Linked DNA regions of Ovis aries. The protein of the gene in region 3 interacts with the protein of the main gene of each other region in a pairwise test. Links are inferred from orthologs where the notes say so. Each region holds a gene or a part of one and is shown on either strand. Other genes may lie near its edges. The genes, in order: EIF3K, CRABP2, CCND3 and VDR.

Region 1 (4,384 bases), on a different chromosome or scaffold from region 3:
TCACATCCCCATCCCTTCTTGGGGCTCACCCCCAAGGTCACAGGTTTGAGAGTGTTGGAGAAGGAGGGGGGTTCCTCACCTTGAAAACTTCCCCATAGGTGCCGCCACCCAGCCGCTGCAGCAGGTCATAGTGGTCCCGGGGGTCCCTGTTAAAGATGTCAGGGTCTACGAGGTCCATTCCTGGGGGCCGGAGCTGGGCCTGCGCCCAGGGGCCAGCAGGGCCTCAGGGCTCCGAATGCTGGCACCTCCCTCCCTCCCCACACGCCCTGCACCCGCCTTGCCTCCACCGGCTGTGGCCTCCCCCCTCCCCACTCTCGCTTCCTGCCCCGGCACAGAGCTGTGCAGCCAGCGGCTCCACCCCCTGTCCCCTGGGCCCTGACAGCCTGTGAGGGGCAGCTTGCCTTGGGACCCAGGGGACTCCCCCCTCCACCTCCGGGGCCCTGGGCTGCATGTAAACCAGATGCAAACTATCTTCATTGTGACCTGGAGGGTGCCCTCACCCTCCCCCGTTATGGGCAGTGGCTAAAAACATTTGAACCTCTGCTGAACGCTGAGTGTTGGGCCACAACCTGGAGATGGCAGGTCTACACCGGGATGACCATGTAGTGTATGTACATCATTGTTCACCCGGGACACATACAGGCACTTAGTGGTAACTCCCCGTGCGGCGCGCAGGCCAGTCGCCGTGCACACTCCTGGATACCCGTGTGCACGTATGTGGATATACCCAGAGCATATACACATATGACACATGCATGTTCAGTCATGCTTGCAGTGGGCAGTATCTGAACACACAACTAGGGATGCCACATGCGGAGCGCTCGCCTTCACCCACAGAACTGGAGCTATGGGGACTGGGCGTGATCTAGCGGGGTCCACGAGCCCCTCTCTCCGCCCCTGCCGAGCTGAGCACAACAGCTTTGCGGGCCACTACCCTCGGCGTTAGGGTGAAGTGTGGGGGACCAGGTTCACGACTTAAAACTGCGAAGCTCAGGATCCTTCCTCAGAGGCCAAGGGGACCTCAGAGGGCACCTTCTTCGGCACATGCCCATGGACCAAAAGGATTGTACTGATGGAACCCCAGCAGTTTTGAGTTCACAGCCCGTGCACGCCGTCACGGATCAGTCTACTTCCCGCTAAGTCCGCGCTCACGCGCCAGGGTCTATAACTGGATACGCGAGGCCCGGGAAAAGCTTAGTCCCGCCCCCTCGCCGCGAGAAGGCGCCTGCGCACTTGGTTAGACTAGGTCTTTTCTCGCGCCGTAGCTTCTGCTCGAGTAGAGCGTATGCGCACGCGCTAACTGCGCCGGCTGGGAAGAAGTCACGCGGCAGCCGGAAAGCGTGGCAGCCGCAGCTAGACCCAAAGCACGATTCACCGCGGGGCTGGAGAGAAAACAATTACGTAGTTTCCGTTTCCACCAACTCTTCCTCTTCCGGTCCTCGAGGACGCTTTGCCGGCAGGGTCTTCGGCCTTAGGCCTGGTGTGGGAGGCGGCAGCAGTCATGGCGATGTTTGAGCAGATGAGAGCGAACGTGGGCAAGTTGCTCAAGGGGATCGACAGGTCTGAGCCCGGTCGGAGGGAGCGTTTCTGGCCAGCGTGGAGGAGAGGGTTTTCTGGGGTCAGCAAGAGGTGGTCAGCATCCTGGGCTTGCCCAGGGGTGGGATTTTTCAGTCAGTCTGGAGCAGTTGTTTAAGAAAACAGCATTGTATAGGCCTAAAGGCAAGAGGTGGCCTTGCCTGCCGCTCAGTCCGCTTTAATTGCCTTAAGGCCGCCCTCTCTGCTTAACTTATTCTCTCTCAGCCCCTCTGTTTTCTCTCTGCTCCTCAGTCTCACTGAGCCTCTCAGTGCCTCTTCGTGGCTCCCCTTCCCCCCCTAATTTCATTCATCGAACACATGTTTACTGAAATCTACACTGTGAATTCTGGGCAATGGTGCGGACCAGAGATAACCAAAGACAGCCACTGGCCATGCTTTCATGGAGTTTCTAGTTCAGATAAACCGGACGGTAGACAGTGATAGCCAGGAGTGGTCAAGGTGGTGATGGGGGAAACATAGGTAGATTGGTGGGGGCTAGGATGGGGAAAACTAGGCAGGAGAGAATGGGCTGCACCAGAGTGGGGTTTGGGGATGGGAGAAAGGGGTGGATATCAAAGATGTCCAGGAGGGCAGATGTACAGGCTGCAAGGGCTGGTTGGCTGAGAGATTGAAAAGACATTTTTCAGAAAAGACCCAGGGCTCTGATGGGGTTTAGAGCTGGGGCTTAGGTCAGGGATATGGATAAGTTTCATCAGAGATTATAGAGCTGATTCAATATTTGAGTAGAGCAAGTGGCCAGTGACGGAGGGAGGGAGGAAAGGAAGAGAAGGAGGAGCAGGCTACAGTCGCCCCCACTCCTACCCCATGGGAGTGACTGGCCTCAGCTCTTGTCTCTGCTCACTCATCTTGTTTCTCCTCTAGGTACAACCCTGAGAACCTGGCCACCCTGGAGCGCTATGTGGAGACACAGGCCAAGGAAAATGCCTATGATCTGGAAGCCAACCTGGCTGTCCTGAAACTGTGAGTATCTGCCTCCATTCCCACCCGGTTCCCATAGTCAGCAGCCTGCCACTCCCAGCACTGGGTGGGGTGGGAGTGAGGGGTAACCTCCAGGATGTGACTTCTCTCTCTTTTTTAAAAATTGGAATCTAGTTGATTTACAATGTTATATTAGTTTTAGATGTACAACATAGTGTTTGGGTATTTTTATAGGTTATACTCCGTTTAGAGTTCTTATATAATGGGGGTCATAGCCCCTGTGCTGTTCATTGTGACTTTGTATCTTATTTCATATATATTTCGTACCCCTTAATCCCCTTCCATTATCTCACCTCTCCCCCACCCCATTCCCATCTATAACCACTAGTTTGCTTCTCTGTTTCTGTTTTGTTGCTTTCATTTTATTCTTTAGATTCTACATATAAGCGAAAACATGTGGTATTTGCCTTTCCCTGTCTGACTTAACTTCACTAAGCGTAATATTCTCCAGGTCCATCCATGTTGTTGAAAGGGCAAATTTTCATTCTTTTTCCTTTTTTTTTTTTTAATGGCTGAATAATATTCCATTGTGTGTATGTGTTTCTATGTACCACATCTTCTTTATCCATTCATTTGTCAGTGGACACTTAGGTTGCTTCCAGATCTTGGCTACTGAAAATAATGCTCCTGAGAACACTGGGGTGCCTGTATCACTTCAAATTAGTGTTTGTTTTCTTTACTTATATTTATATACACACACATACCCAGGAGTGGAATTGCTGGATCATGTGGTAGTCCTAGATTTGATTTTACAGGGAACCTCCCTACTGTTTTCCACGGTGGCTGTGCCAATTGACATGACACTATCAAGCGTTCTCTCCTCCACATCCTTGCCGGTGTTTTGTTATTTGTTGTCTTCTTGTTGATAGCCATTTTGTCAAGTGTGTGATTCTGATTTGCATTTTCCTGATGTTTAGTGATGTTGAGCATCTTCTCAATTGCCTGTTGGCGATCTCTGTCTTCTTTTAAAAAAAAAGCGTCTATTCAGAAGTTTCTGACAGGGTTTTGCGGGATTTTTGGTATTGAATTGTATGACCTCTTTATCTGTTTTGGATAGAATGTGCAAGACTAGGGAGCCAGGAAGTAGGGGCAGGAGGAGGGATGGTTTTTGAAAACTTAGTTACAGGGGCTGCACTCCAGCAGTTAAGATTCCAGCCTTCCACTGCAGGGGACACGAGTTAGATCCCTGGCTGGGGAACTAAGCTCCCGCAGGCCTTGCTGTGCAACCAAAAAGTAAAAAAAAAAATAAATAAAAATCATAACAAAGCGCACATACAGGCTGCTGCAGAAAGCAAGTATATGGTTTAACGTGGAGTTATAAATGGACACCTATGTAATCAGCAGCCCAACTGCAAAATGGGTGTTGCTAGCACCCTGTCCTTTGCCCCATGTGTTTTGTGCCAACCACGCTGACCTGATGACCCTGGTGACCACTCCTGTGCTCTCGTGGCCTGGCTTTGTGTGAATTTACCACACGCTTGCAGGCGCATGTACACACATACACATCCTGATTCGCTTAGCGCAGGTTTGCCTGCTTTGAACTGAACATAAGAGTAGCTGCACGACTGGAGCTCTTCTGCGTCTGGCAGCTTGCACTCAGCCCTGGGTTTGTGAGCTCCACGCTTCTCCTGTGTGGCCGCAGTTGGTTGTCATTGCTGTGCAGTGTTCCATGTGGAGCCAGGTCCTAATTATCTGTTATCCTGTCGGTAGATATTTGGTTCCTTCTTTCTAGATGCTTTATGGACACACCGTTATCGTCCTTGTTTTAGTCACTAAGTCATGTCCAACTCTTTTTTCAACCCCGTGAGCT
Region 2 (3,364 bases), on a different chromosome or scaffold from region 3:
CACAGAACTGAGTGTGGAGGCTCAGGGAGGTGCGGGGGAGGAGGACCTAAGGGGCCTGGAAGATCCAAGAGACGGGGCAGACGGGGCAGAGTGAGAGATCTCAAGGCAGAGATAGGCTTGTCTCAGACACAAAGAGACATGGGCAAGAGCAAGGCCATCCTGTGGGCGGTGATGAGTCATCTGGAGCCATGTGGGAGGCCAAGGCCAGGCCTGGGGTTGCCCACAGATTGGGGTTGGAAGAGAGAGAAGGAACAGTTGGAGGAGGAGGAGGGAGCCATGTCACCATCGCAGGAGAAGGTGGGAGTCAGTTCCTCAGCACCTGCTGAGAGTCAGAGGATGAAGCCTTAGTTACTTTGGAAGCCAGAGCTGGGGACAAAGGAGGCTGGAGGAGGGGGAGTGAAGGTGATGGTCATGGATTCTGCAGCAAAGGAAGGGATGGTGATGAGGAGGGTGGAGGCCAGCTGGTTCCCTCCCCCTTGTGAACTGTGCACCTATGCTGCTGAAACATCAGACTCTCTCACACTGCCTTTCAAAGGCGAAGTTGGACTCAGGCGACTTACCCAGCCCCTTCCCAGTGAGCCAGAGACAGGTTTTATTTCCTAAAACATTTTAATAAAATTAACCAATAAATATTCTACACTGTATGGGCTACAGGGACAGAGTGGAAGACAGAGGGCCGGTCTTTCCTACTTAGGCCCTCGGGTCCCCTTGCAGAAAAGGAGAGAGAGGGTGCTATGGGCTGGTTTGGGGCTAGGACTAGGGCGGGGGTGGGGGGAGTGATCCTGGAATCGGTGATCTGGGTTCCATCCATCGTGTTGATATATGGGAGGAGAGGAGGGGTCAATAAAAGGAGAGCCCCTGCAGAAGGCAACCCAGAACCCCCAGAAGTGACTGGGGTGAGGGGAGAGCTAGCCTAGATGAAGGGGTGGGGCAGGAGGCAGGGAGCATGGGCCGGCGGCGGCTCTGGGGGTGCAGCCGCTTACTCTCGGACATAGACCCTGGTGCACACGATGTCATCCGCCGTCATGGTCTGAAGGGAGAGAAGTCATTGTTAGCCTGGGAGGCCCCTGGTTCCTGTGCTTGGGAGCAGGAAGGTTGCATGGAAATACTCTGCTTGGCCTCCAGGTCCAAACCTACTTCTTGGCTCAGGATGGTTCACAAAATGCCTGGGCATCATGTGATGGAGGACAATAGAGGCCCAGGGTCCATTCTACATCTCCCTCCCCAAGCCAGGAAGATCCCCCCTCCACCCCCTCCAGAGATCTGCTGCGGCCTTTCAGAGCAAGCCCTTTGCTCCACGTGGAAGGGACACCCTTTTGCGTTTGCACAAGGGTACTACCTGGAACACAGACAACCTAGTTCTGCCCCAGCAGCTCCATCAGGAGACAGAGAGACCAGCCACCGTTGTTCTTAAATTTCCTGTACTGTGGAATGTCCTGGAAAATCTCTGAAGGTAGCACTGGGCTTGCTCTGTCTGAGCTTGGAGAAAAGCAGGAAAAAGCCTTACCAGGATCAGCTCTCCATCGTTGGTCAGTTCTCTGGTCCAGGAGGTCTTGGGACCCTCTCCCTTCAACAGCCTCTGCTCGCAGACCATTTTGTTCTCACTCTCCCATTTCACCAGGCTCTGTACGAGAGAGTGGCCAGGTGAGTTGGGCCCACAGCCGGGACAAGGCTGTGAGAGGGACAGAGGAAGCGCCACCTTTCTACCCACCAACACTACCTAGGGACTCTCCCCACTGGAAATGGAGGAGAGACTCGAGGGGAAGATGGGAAAAGATCCACTGGCAAGGGATCCCACGACCCTGGGGACCCCATCCCTGCACGCACCTTACAGGGCCTCCCGTCCACAGTCTGCTCTTCAAACTCCTCTCCGACCTTGAAGTTGATCTCTGTGGTACGCACGGTGGTGGAGGTTTTGATGTAGAAAGTGTCCCCCTCCTGTTTGATCTCCACTGCTGGCTTGGATGCTGCAGCCACGGCGATCTTTCTCAGCATCACATTCACCCCTGCAGGGAGGGGAGAGGATGGACGGTCCAGGTACCTGCCTCACACCCTCCCCAAGAGACAGCAGGAGCAAGCTGGATCATGAGTCGACTGGGAAGAGAGGGAGGCTTCCTGGGTGTCCGAAAAGCGCCTTGAAGGGAGGGCAGGTGGTGCAGCCCTGATGGCTGGTGGGTTCAGCAAGGAGGGGCAGAGAGGCAGTGCCCTCCCTTGGGATTTCTGCTTCTAGCTTCCACCTGGATGAGTCAGCAGCCCTGGATTGGGATCCCCAAGTCTCAGCTTTGCAGTCAGTTCTCCCCGGTCCCTTCAGCCTGCTACAGCTCCCTTTGGCTCCAGTCACCTCACTTTAGGTCCTTTGTCCACCTTGCTTGAGACCATCTGCTGGGGTGGGCTCATCAGAATCACTGTGTCCACACCCCGACTCATCTGCAGGGCAGACCCTCCTCAGCCAGCCCTCACTACTCATGTCCTGAAGTAGGGGCCACTTCCCTCTGTGCCTACTCACCTCCCCTGTCTGGTGGCCTTGATTTGCTGAGTCTCTGTCCCTCCAGAATGAGAAGGAACAGGGATTCTCAACAGGGGAGGGGGTGTGGCAGCTGTGTCCCCCTACAGAATGGTCTGTAGCCTGGGGAAACCACAGGCTGTGAAATAAGATCCATTAGGCCATGATTTCCACCTGGCTCACCCTCCCTTCAGGCTGGGTGACCCTGGGCTAATGGCTTAACCTCTCTAAGGCTTAGATTTCTCAGTTGTAAAATGGAGACAACAGCTTATTCAAGAGCCCATCAAATGGGACAATGTGTGTTTAGGCTGGAGCACACACAGTGCCAGGCACATCTGTAAGTTTTCAAAGGAAATGGCAACCCACTCTAGTGTTCTTGCCTGGAGAATCCTAGGGACAGAGGAGCCTGTTGGGTGCTGTCTATGGGGTCACACAGAGTCAGACATGACTGACGTGACTTAGCAGCAGCAGCAGCAGCAGCTACTCTTATTGTTGTTGTTTTTACTGATTAAAGGATGGCAAAGAAAAAGCCAGAGTTGGGGCTCAAAGTTCCATGCATCAGACTCCTTCCTGTTCACCTGCCCTCCTGGAAGACATCTACGTCCCTCTCCCCTCAAGGGACAGAAAGGGACACTCCCCTCCCCTCCCGTGATGTACCCCGACTCCAGGATCACCCACCCTACTTCAGGGCCCAGATCTTCTCATTCAGCTGAGCCCCTGTGCCTGTCCCCCTGTCCTTTCCCAGACTGGACCCCTTCTCTCCTCTCCCTACTTATTTAAAAGGAATGGGGTAGCCGGAGACAGCAGCCCTCTGCCAGGAAGTCAAGCAGGCCGGGAGGCACCTCTAGCTGGGGCCTAGGT
Region 3 (4,534 bases):
ACCTTCTTTGCGGCACAAGGATTATTTGGACTGACCGGAGCTCTCTGATGTCCCTTCCAACTCTGACCTTCTAGGAAGTCATCGATCGGCACGCTCCACCCCCAGCTCAGGCAGGGGGAGTGGGAGGAGAGGACTTTTGGCCTGTTCTGAAAAACTGCCCTCACATAAAGGCACACATCCCATGCTCATCTTTTCACAAAAATGAAGTCCCCTTCCACCAGCCCAAACTCCTTCAGAAACATCTTGCTCTCTAGCCCTGGAAACCAGCTCCACCTTCAGACTTGCCCCAAACTACCAGATTCATCACAAAGAGCTGTGGAGCCTCCCAGATTCCCAGCTCTGGCCTCCTACTCCCATATCCGAGAGCTACTTGGCAGGAAGAGGAATCCCGTTCCCCGACAAGCAGCACTCAGGGGCCCCAGTACCCTGGCTTTCCTGGCCAGCCAATCACAGCAGCCAGCACGCTGCCCTCCTCCCCGGGAGATGGGGCCCAGAGACGCCTCTCGGGTCAAGAGAAGACTCGACTGCTGTAGAGCAAGATGGAGGAAGGTGCCAGCTCACCCCTCTCCCCTGGGTCCCCCGAGAGATGATCTGCACGCTCCCAAATAACCTCTTCCAAATCCAAGCAACTCCCCACCTCCTCTCCAGGCTCAATGGGGAAAGAGAACCATGACTCCCCTGCCCTGCCTCGGGAAGAGCCCAGCCCAAGTTCCCAGCAAGAGGCCCAGGGAGCCACTTCCCAAACCACAGGAGTGACAGCAGCTCCCCACAGGGTTATGAAAGACCTTGGTCAGGGTGGGTGGGCCAGGGGAGAGGGCATCATTATCACATCGGAAGCAGCTGCAGTTCAGCCCCAGTCTGTGCCTCAGCACTTGCCTTTGGCTAAAGGGGAAAAGATGATTCCACCAGGCCTGAAGCAGCTGCTTCTGAGAGCAATTTCTCAGGGTGAGACTAGGGAATGGAGAATGAGGGAAGGAGCTGGTTCTCCTGGGATATAAAAGGAAGGAAGGAAGCAAAGTGGGATGGAACTCCTCGGCCCTTCCTTACAGCAGCTGGGGCCTGGCTTTAATCAGCTCTGGGAGACTTTTTGATCACAAAGTCCACACACTGGGAGACAAGATTCAACCCGGGCGGCCCCTTCCCCCACGTGAAGCACGTTCCACTCCCCCACTCCAGTGGGGGTGCACAGGCATGCCCTGCTGCTGCCAATAAATAACTCCTGGTGGCTGTGTAAACCCAGAGGCAAAGTTCTGGTGAGTGTAGACATGCAGTTTGACTTGTTGCTATCTGGGGGAAAGACCATGAAGGAGTGGCACCCCCTGGAGGTCAAGACAGGGGATCTGGTTCATGCTGGGAGTGCAAGCCTGAACTGGGGCCACCCTGACCATCACACCACACTGTCCCATCTTTTGTCAAAAGAAAAAGAAAAAAAGCTGCTACCCTGCACAGGGGCAGAAAGCCTCCCGAGGTCTCAGCTTCCCCCATCCTGGTACGTTAGGAAGGAGGCAGGGGGTGCTGGCAGGTGGGGAGGGTATGCACGCACCCGCAGCTGGCGCGGGGAGACAGAATGGTCGGTGTAGATGCACAGCTTCTCGATGGTCAGGGGCGTTGTCTCGCGCAGCTTGGAGGCCAGCAGCATGCAGACCGCACCCAGGAGCTGCAACTGCGCCTTTCGGGTGGGGACGCAGGACAGGTAGCGATCCAGGTAGTTCATGGCCAGGGGGAAGACTTCCTCTTCACAGCGCTGCTCCTCACACACCTGGGGGAGGGCGCACAGTCACTTCGGGGGCAGAGGCTTAGGAAACGCAGCAGCAACTAAAGGCGAGGGGTGCGGTGCGCTGAAGGGAAGTGGAATGGGGAGCAAGACACGGGAGGGGGTAGGTGTACTCACAGTGACAAGGACTAACACGCAGGATGCGCCTTCCCCAAGGTGACACCCTCCCACTTCCTCTGCGGTGCCTCCTTTCCCCGGGGGTGGGAGTGGGGGGGGGGGGCGGAGCGGGATACGCCAGAGGCTCCCTTCCTTCAGGAATCCAAACTGAGGCTGATCTGCACCCCCCGTACCAAGGGAGAGGGGTTCGGAAGAGTCACCCATAGAAGCCAGAGAACTGGGACCTTACCCCCATTACTGCCACCCAGTGCACACACCCAAAAGGAAGGGAGGAGACTCCAGCGGCTGCCTCCCGCACTTTCCATTTCCCTGACGGCCGGAACAGCGCGCCACCCCCACCGGCTTCCCCGCCAGAACCCCCGCGACACACACAAGGAACCAGCTCTGCGGCGGGGGCGGCCGAGCCCAGGGTTTTCCAGGCGCGCTCTCCAGAGAAGACCGGGCGTGCGGTGGGGGCGGGGGGAGGCTTTTGAGAGAAGTCAGAGGGGAGAGGGTGGCCCTCGCCCCGCTTTCCCCGCCCGAAGACAGGGTTATTTGGGGGTGCCAAATGCCTGGCGGTCAGGGTCAGAGAAGGGCAAGAAAAAGACAGCACCGAGGCAGCCGGCTAAGGGCGCGCGAGTGAAAAGTCCAGGCCCCGGGGATCTGCGCCACAGAAACATCTTGCTGATTGTTGCTGAGGACCAGGATGTCCCGACAGGGCGGCCCCGGGATGTCCGGAGCCCGGGACGCGGGGGTGACGGGGGAGGGGAGACCCGCCCAGGCGGTACCTCCAGCATCCAGTACGCCAGCATCTTCCGCATGTGCGGCTTGATCTCCCTCTGCACACACTGGAAGTAAGAGGCGCGGGGCACGTAGCGCTCCTCCAGGCGGAGCAAGCTCTGCAGGACACGCTGGTCCCCTAGCAGCCGCGGGTCCGGCCCGGCCCGGGGCGCGTGCCGAGTGCCCTCGCAGCACAGCAGCTCCATCCTCGGGCAGCGCGCGGGCAGGGCGGGAGTGCGGGCTCGGGAGCCAGAACGCAGGCGGCGGGCCGGAGAGCGCGGGGCGCGGGACTGTGGCGCTGTCGCTGGCACTGCGCGGCCGAGCCTCAGCCCGCCCCCGCCGCCGCGCGCGCGCCGCTTCCCTGACAGGCGCCCCGCCCCTCGAGACCGAGTAGCAACCGTGGAATGCTCAGACGTCGCGACGCTCCGGGGGCGGGGCCTCCGGCGCCCGGACGGAAAGGGCTGGCGGGCGCTCCCCCTCCCCCGGGCGACCGCATTGGTCGGCTGGGCGCGGGCCGCCGGCTTCCGGGCGCTCCGGATCCTTTTGACCACCCGGTGCTAGAGGAGTGTGCTTTGGAGGTGGGCCTCTCCTCGCCCCCCGCCCCCACCTCCGAGCCCTTCCATTTTTGCATCTCCCGACTCCAGGCGCCCCGAAAGGTTATTCATTCATTCGTCAAACTCTACTTCACCCGCTGCTTGCTCTAGGAAAAGTAAATAATAATAAAATAGCTAGATCTTAGGGGAGACTGGTCTGAGCACTTATTAAAATCTTAATGAAGAAGCTGTGGGTTAGGTCTTATACTGATTTTGCAGTTGAGGAAACTGAAGCAGTAACTATAATAATAGTTCGTCTGCGGCAGAGCTAGGATTGGGAAGCCGACGGTCTGCCCCCAGAATCTCTGCTCTACCCCGTGGCTACTTAAACTGATCCCCGAACCAGCCTGAGAGCGGGTCAGAAAAGCAGAACCTCAGGCCCATCCCCTGACCTACTGGATCAAAATCTGCCTTTAACCAGATCCCTGGTGATTCCTGTACACACTAAAGTGTGAGAAGAGACAGTCCTAAATCCGCACGCTTGAGAACTACAACAGGGCGGAAGGGTCATGGATTCAAGGCCTCACCTTGTCTGTCATTAAGTTGGGTGTGTGGCCTTGGACAAACCCTGACGTTGGCCTTAGTTTCCGTTTGAGGAAATGATGGGCGGAGAAACTGCCTCCTTTCTAGAGGAGTTTCTTGCTCAGATTGTATAAAATCTTTCAGGCGCCACTTTTACCTCCCAAGCTTTGGGACTTTGCAGCGTTTCCAGAGCTGGATTCCGCGTGACCAGGAGGCAAACACACCACAAGCCTCCAGTAATGCTCCAAATGGCAGGAGGCCATGGGGATCCCTGCCTTTCCTGGGGTCCTCCAAGGAGGTGAGACACTAAGGAAGTTAATTACTAGAGAAATGACACTCTATAGAAAGAGGTCAGTCCTGCGCTAAGCATTATCCCAGTGAATTGTTCTTTTTTATACAATAAATTTTTTGCTGTTTGCATATCACGGAAATATTCAATGCATTGTAGAAGACAGAAAATACCAATGTCACACAAAAAAGTAAAGAGTAAGTACTGGCAGTTTCACCATCCAGATTGTTGTCCTTCAGTCACTAAGTCATATCCAACTCTTTGAGACCCCATGGACTGCAGCATGCCAGGCTTCCCTGTCCTTCACCATCTCCCAGAGCTTGCTCAAACTCATGTCCATTGAGTCAGTGATGCCATCCAACCATCTCATCCTCTGTTGTCCCCTTCTCCTCCAGCCCTTAGTCTTTCCCAGCATCAGGGCCTTTTCCAATGAGTTGGCGCATTGCATCAGTTGGCCAGATAACCCTTTAAAATGACAAT
Region 4 (3,734 bases), on a different chromosome or scaffold from region 3:
GCTCTCAAAACCATACATGACCACTGGAAAGACCATAGCCTTGACTATATGGATTTTTGTTGGCAAAGTGATGTCTTTGCCTTTTAACATATTAGGTTAACATACTACCAAGACATATAATCTTCTAGAAGCCTGTGCATGCCAACCTTTCATTCTCACTGGAAATAGCATCTTTCTCTATGGACTGCATGTATTCCAGAGGAGCAGGGAGTAGAAACAGTATGAAATGGCTTGCAGGAGTGACTGGCTGGCAATAGTCTCTAATTCTTGACCATAGGTCAATAGAACCAACCAACCCCCATAATCACACTTTGATTTGATTATGAGTCTTAGACTTGCTGAAATGATCACAACTCACTTCTAGAGCAATTTAGTTTGATTAAGAAGTCAATCAAACACTAAATGGTCAAAGGGGCTTATATCCCAGGGGTTAGAATATAGTCAGTGGCTCAACCCTAAGGTAATGCTTTTTCCTTGAGAACTGCTCTTGCAGGGCTGAGAGAGCTTCTGGAGAGCAAGGGCTTGTGCTATCTTTGTGTTCTCAAGGATGCGGTACCCAACGCAGAGAAGGACCTCCTTCTGACAGAGGCCTTCCTACCCAGGATGAGGATTCTGCAGACAGATACAACTGACAATGGAATTCTCAAACAGCTATTTGAAATAGACTAAAGAAGAAGATTATCAAATAGTATATGGATGAAGCAAAGGAGGAGAAGTATGTGGAGGGGAGAGAGGAGGAGAAATTATATGCAGACAGTCTATTCTTGTTCTTTGTGGTAGTTACATTCATAAAGCCATCATGAATGCCGAATCAGCAAATATTGAATCATCGCTCCTAGGAGAATTTGGATTAGGTTCCTGTGAGCCTCCGGTCACAATGCTTTCATCAGTCCATCAGTAAATAACTTTGTTTCATGTGAGGCATCTATTTAAACGCACCTTATTTAACACATGTTGTTGACTCATTAACATTGAACTCATAGCCAACAGCTAAAAAGCCTGTGTCTAAACAAAGCTTGTCTAACATGTCTTTTCTCTGTAAGGCGCCTTTCAGCTTTCACATGCTTAGGAGAACCTGAAAGAATTTCAGCACCATGCTTGGGTGCCACCTTACACAGTGAAATCACTATCAAATGGTACAAAGGTGCAAAAAGGATGGCACTAAATATACCAAGAACAGGACACTTGTTCATAGTGTGAGAATTGAAACAGAAGGCAGAATGTCTGGCTCAGCCTTGGCTGGGAACGTGTACAATGAGAGACAGAATTTTTCTCCACTCTGCACGTGTCCAGAAACACCAGAGCTGCAAGTATTGATCTGGGGATGACAAGTAAAGCTTACCAGGTCGTCAGATTTGCAGATGTGGACTCCACAAACAATGAGGATCAACTGTGCATATTTATAAAACAGAATTCAAGCCAAACAATGGGAGAGATGTTGGCTCTTCAAAAAGTGCAGCCTGGGCTGTCATCAAGGCAGAGGCAGTAAAGTTATAAGGTAGATGGAGGACAGGGAAGCAAGATAAAAGCAGCTTGCTGACCATAACACCAGACCTTGCAGGAGGGAGTAGTGGCCGTCAGTCAGCTCAGACTCAAAGGGGCCTCGGCACGGTGGCTCAAGGCAATCAAACTCCAGGCCTGCCAGTTTCTGCCGCAGAGGGCAGGTGAGTTAGGATTCTAACTCTGATTCACGCTGCCCTCAGTGCCAGTTCAGGGAAATGGATTCCTTGTTCTGGACTTGATTCGCTCTTTCCTCTCTTTGATGGAAAGCCCTGCCATTAGCTTTACTCACCCTCAGCAAGACTATTACATAGAAGCTCATTTTTGGCTGCCTTCTTCCAGGCTCCATTCTGTTTCTCTCTCCAAAATATGCAAAATGCTAACTTCTCCTGGTTTTGAATCCCACCCTGCCATTCCTCACTTCTCTCTCCTCCCTCCCTGGCTCCAGATGGGAATAGCCTTTGTCCAGCTTTTCCAGGACTTTCCCATACAGTCTGCACTGGTAATGCTGGGCCTACATGAAAAGAGAAGAGGCTGCTCGCAGAAAAACTAGCCCTGACCAAACCAGAATGCGTGTGCTTTCCTGCACACTCTGAGGTTAGCTTTCCAACTTTGATAAGCAAGTCGTGGTGCACAGATCAAGTATGGAGGTCCAACTAGGGATGTCATTTCCCTTGTTCCAGGGGATGGTTTGGTTTGGATGGTGGCAGGAGGGGAGAGGGTGGGGGTGCGTGCTCTGAGGCCAAGTTCTTGGGCTTCCTGGAGGCCATGCCAGTCTCCTGGACTAGGAAGCTCTGATCATCAATGGTAGGAGGTTCACTCTGGAAGGACATGGGTGGGTGCAGGGGGCTGTATGTCAAGGGGTGATGGACGGATGGGGGTTCACATGAACTGCTTCCACCCAGGAAGCAGTTGGGCCAGAGGACAAGCTGGAGCTGAGGGCAGAGGAGGAAGAAACAGACCCTGTTGGCCCGGGTGGCTGTGAGAACGGGAGTGTTTCTGGGCCTGGTGAGGAAGGAGACACAGAACACGCAGGGTCTCTTTGCGGGAAACTCTGTTCCTCACCCGCTACTCCTCGCTCTTGCAGGGCACTCACCTGAAGAAGCCTTTGCAACCTTCGCAGGTCATAGCGTTGAAATGGAAGCCGGTGGCTCGGTCCCCGCACACCCCGCAGATCCGGGGCACGTTCCGGTCAAAGTCGCCGGGGTCAGGTAAGGAAGTGCTGGCCGCAGTCGCCTCCATGGCTGCAAGAACAGCAGGCGGGGATGAGGCCGCTGGCAGCCCTTCTGCCAGGAGCTCAGCAAAGTCGAGCTGTCCCCAGGGCCCAGGCCTCAGTGGGATCCTTGGCGCCCTCGCTTTGTGGTTCCGGGTGCCACCAGCTCACCCTCCTGAGGCTGCCGGCCACAAGCAGAAGCGGGTCTCCCCAGACAGGCTGGAGCACGTCTGCAGGGGGCGCTGTGGCGATGCTCATGGCGTGGCCTGGCGTCAAAGCCCGGAGAACCAGAGGCTGGTGCCTACGGGCTGGACTCCTTTGGGTGAGGGCTCCTGCCTCTCTGCGTCCCACTGTCCTCATCTGAAGAGTGTGTTTACTTCACTGGGTGTGAGGAAGGTTCTTGTGAATGATACCCACATCACTGGCCTCAGCTGCACCTCAGCAGTGGACCTGCTGCAGGTCAGAGGCCTCTTTGCCCAGGGTCCCCTCCAAAAGGGAAGGGGGCCTCCAACAGCCTTGTACACAGAGGGACACCTTCAGCCCCTCTATCCTTCAGGGTGAGGGGAAGAGGACAGGTTACCTGCCCATAGCAGACCCTGTCATGCCAGCTCCAAGCAGCCCCACAGCTCAGGACGGACAGCCTGGTGTCCTTGCTGTCCTGGTATCCAGGTTATCAAAGCTTTCCCCCTCCCCCTTCTCCCTTCAATGTAAATTCAACGCATTGTTCTGAACATCCTTCTGAGTAATGTGAGTCGTATAGGAATTAATTTTGTTTTCAGAGGCTGCTTTTATAAATAGGCATTATCATCTAGAGATAGATTTCACACTTGAAGAAGGAGGGAAAAGAGACAGAGAGGACAAAATATAATAGCTCTGGGAGAGTCTTCTCAGGAAGCAGCTGACGAGCCTTCCCTTGGGCAAGTCAGGACCTCAGCTTCACCTGCCGCCTGCAATCCTGCCGGCTACTAGCTCAGGGCTATGTCTGGGGTCCCTCCTGACTGGTGAAAGGTTTCAGATGGGG

What was found.
Region 1: the proteins of CCND3 (region 3) and EIF3K interact in a two-hybrid assay, tested with the Homo sapiens proteins (2 studies listed by BioGRID and IntAct). The link is inferred for Ovis aries from reciprocal best matches to the Homo sapiens genes CCND3 and EIF3K.
Region 2: the proteins of CCND3 (region 3) and CRABP2 interact in binary tests that used the Homo sapiens proteins (3 or more experiments, as listed by UniProt). The link is inferred for Ovis aries from reciprocal best matches to the Homo sapiens genes CCND3 and CRABP2.
Region 4: the proteins of CCND3 (region 3) and VDR interact in a two-hybrid assay, tested with the Homo sapiens proteins (2 studies listed by BioGRID and IntAct). The link is inferred for Ovis aries from reciprocal best matches to the Homo sapiens genes CCND3 and VDR.

The regions. Positions count from the first base shown.
Region 1 is NC_056067.1:47,756,172-47,760,555, forward strand, and holds the start of EIF3K (eukaryotic translation initiation factor 3 subunit K), read left to right. Parts: upstream 1-1,427; 5' UTR 1,428-1,501; coding exon 1,502-1,560; intron 1,561-2,457; coding exon 2,458-2,556; intron 2,557-4,384. Other genes in the region: MAP4K1 (mitogen-activated protein kinase kinase kinase kinase 1), read right to left, coding at 80-178. UniProt on the Homo sapiens protein: Component of the eukaryotic translation initiation factor 3 (eIF-3) complex, which is required for several steps in the initiation of protein synthesis.
Region 2 is NC_056054.1:106,664,237-106,667,600, forward strand, and holds the end of CRABP2 (cellular retinoic acid-binding protein 2), read right to left. Parts: intron 2,007-3,364; coding exon 1,828-2,006; intron 1,625-1,827; coding exon 1,379-1,624; 3' UTR 1,031-1,378; coding exon of another isoform or gene 980-1,030; 3' UTR 591-979; downstream 1-590. UniProt on the Homo sapiens protein: Transports retinoic acid to the nucleus. Regulates the access of retinoic acid to the nuclear retinoic acid receptors.
Region 3 is NC_056073.1:15,736,975-15,741,508, forward strand, and holds the start of CCND3 (G1/S-specific cyclin-D3), read right to left. Parts: upstream 2,857-4,534; coding exon 2,659-2,856; intron 1,760-2,658; coding exon 1,544-1,759; intron 1-1,543. UniProt on the Homo sapiens protein: Regulatory component of the cyclin D3-CDK4 (DC) complex that phosphorylates and inhibits members of the retinoblastoma (RB) protein family including RB1 and regulates the cell-cycle during G(1)/S transition.
Region 4 is NC_056056.1:138,709,082-138,712,815, reverse strand, and holds part of VDR (vitamin D3 receptor), read right to left. Parts: intron 2,745-3,734; 5' UTR 2,743-2,744; coding exon 2,597-2,742; intron 1-2,596.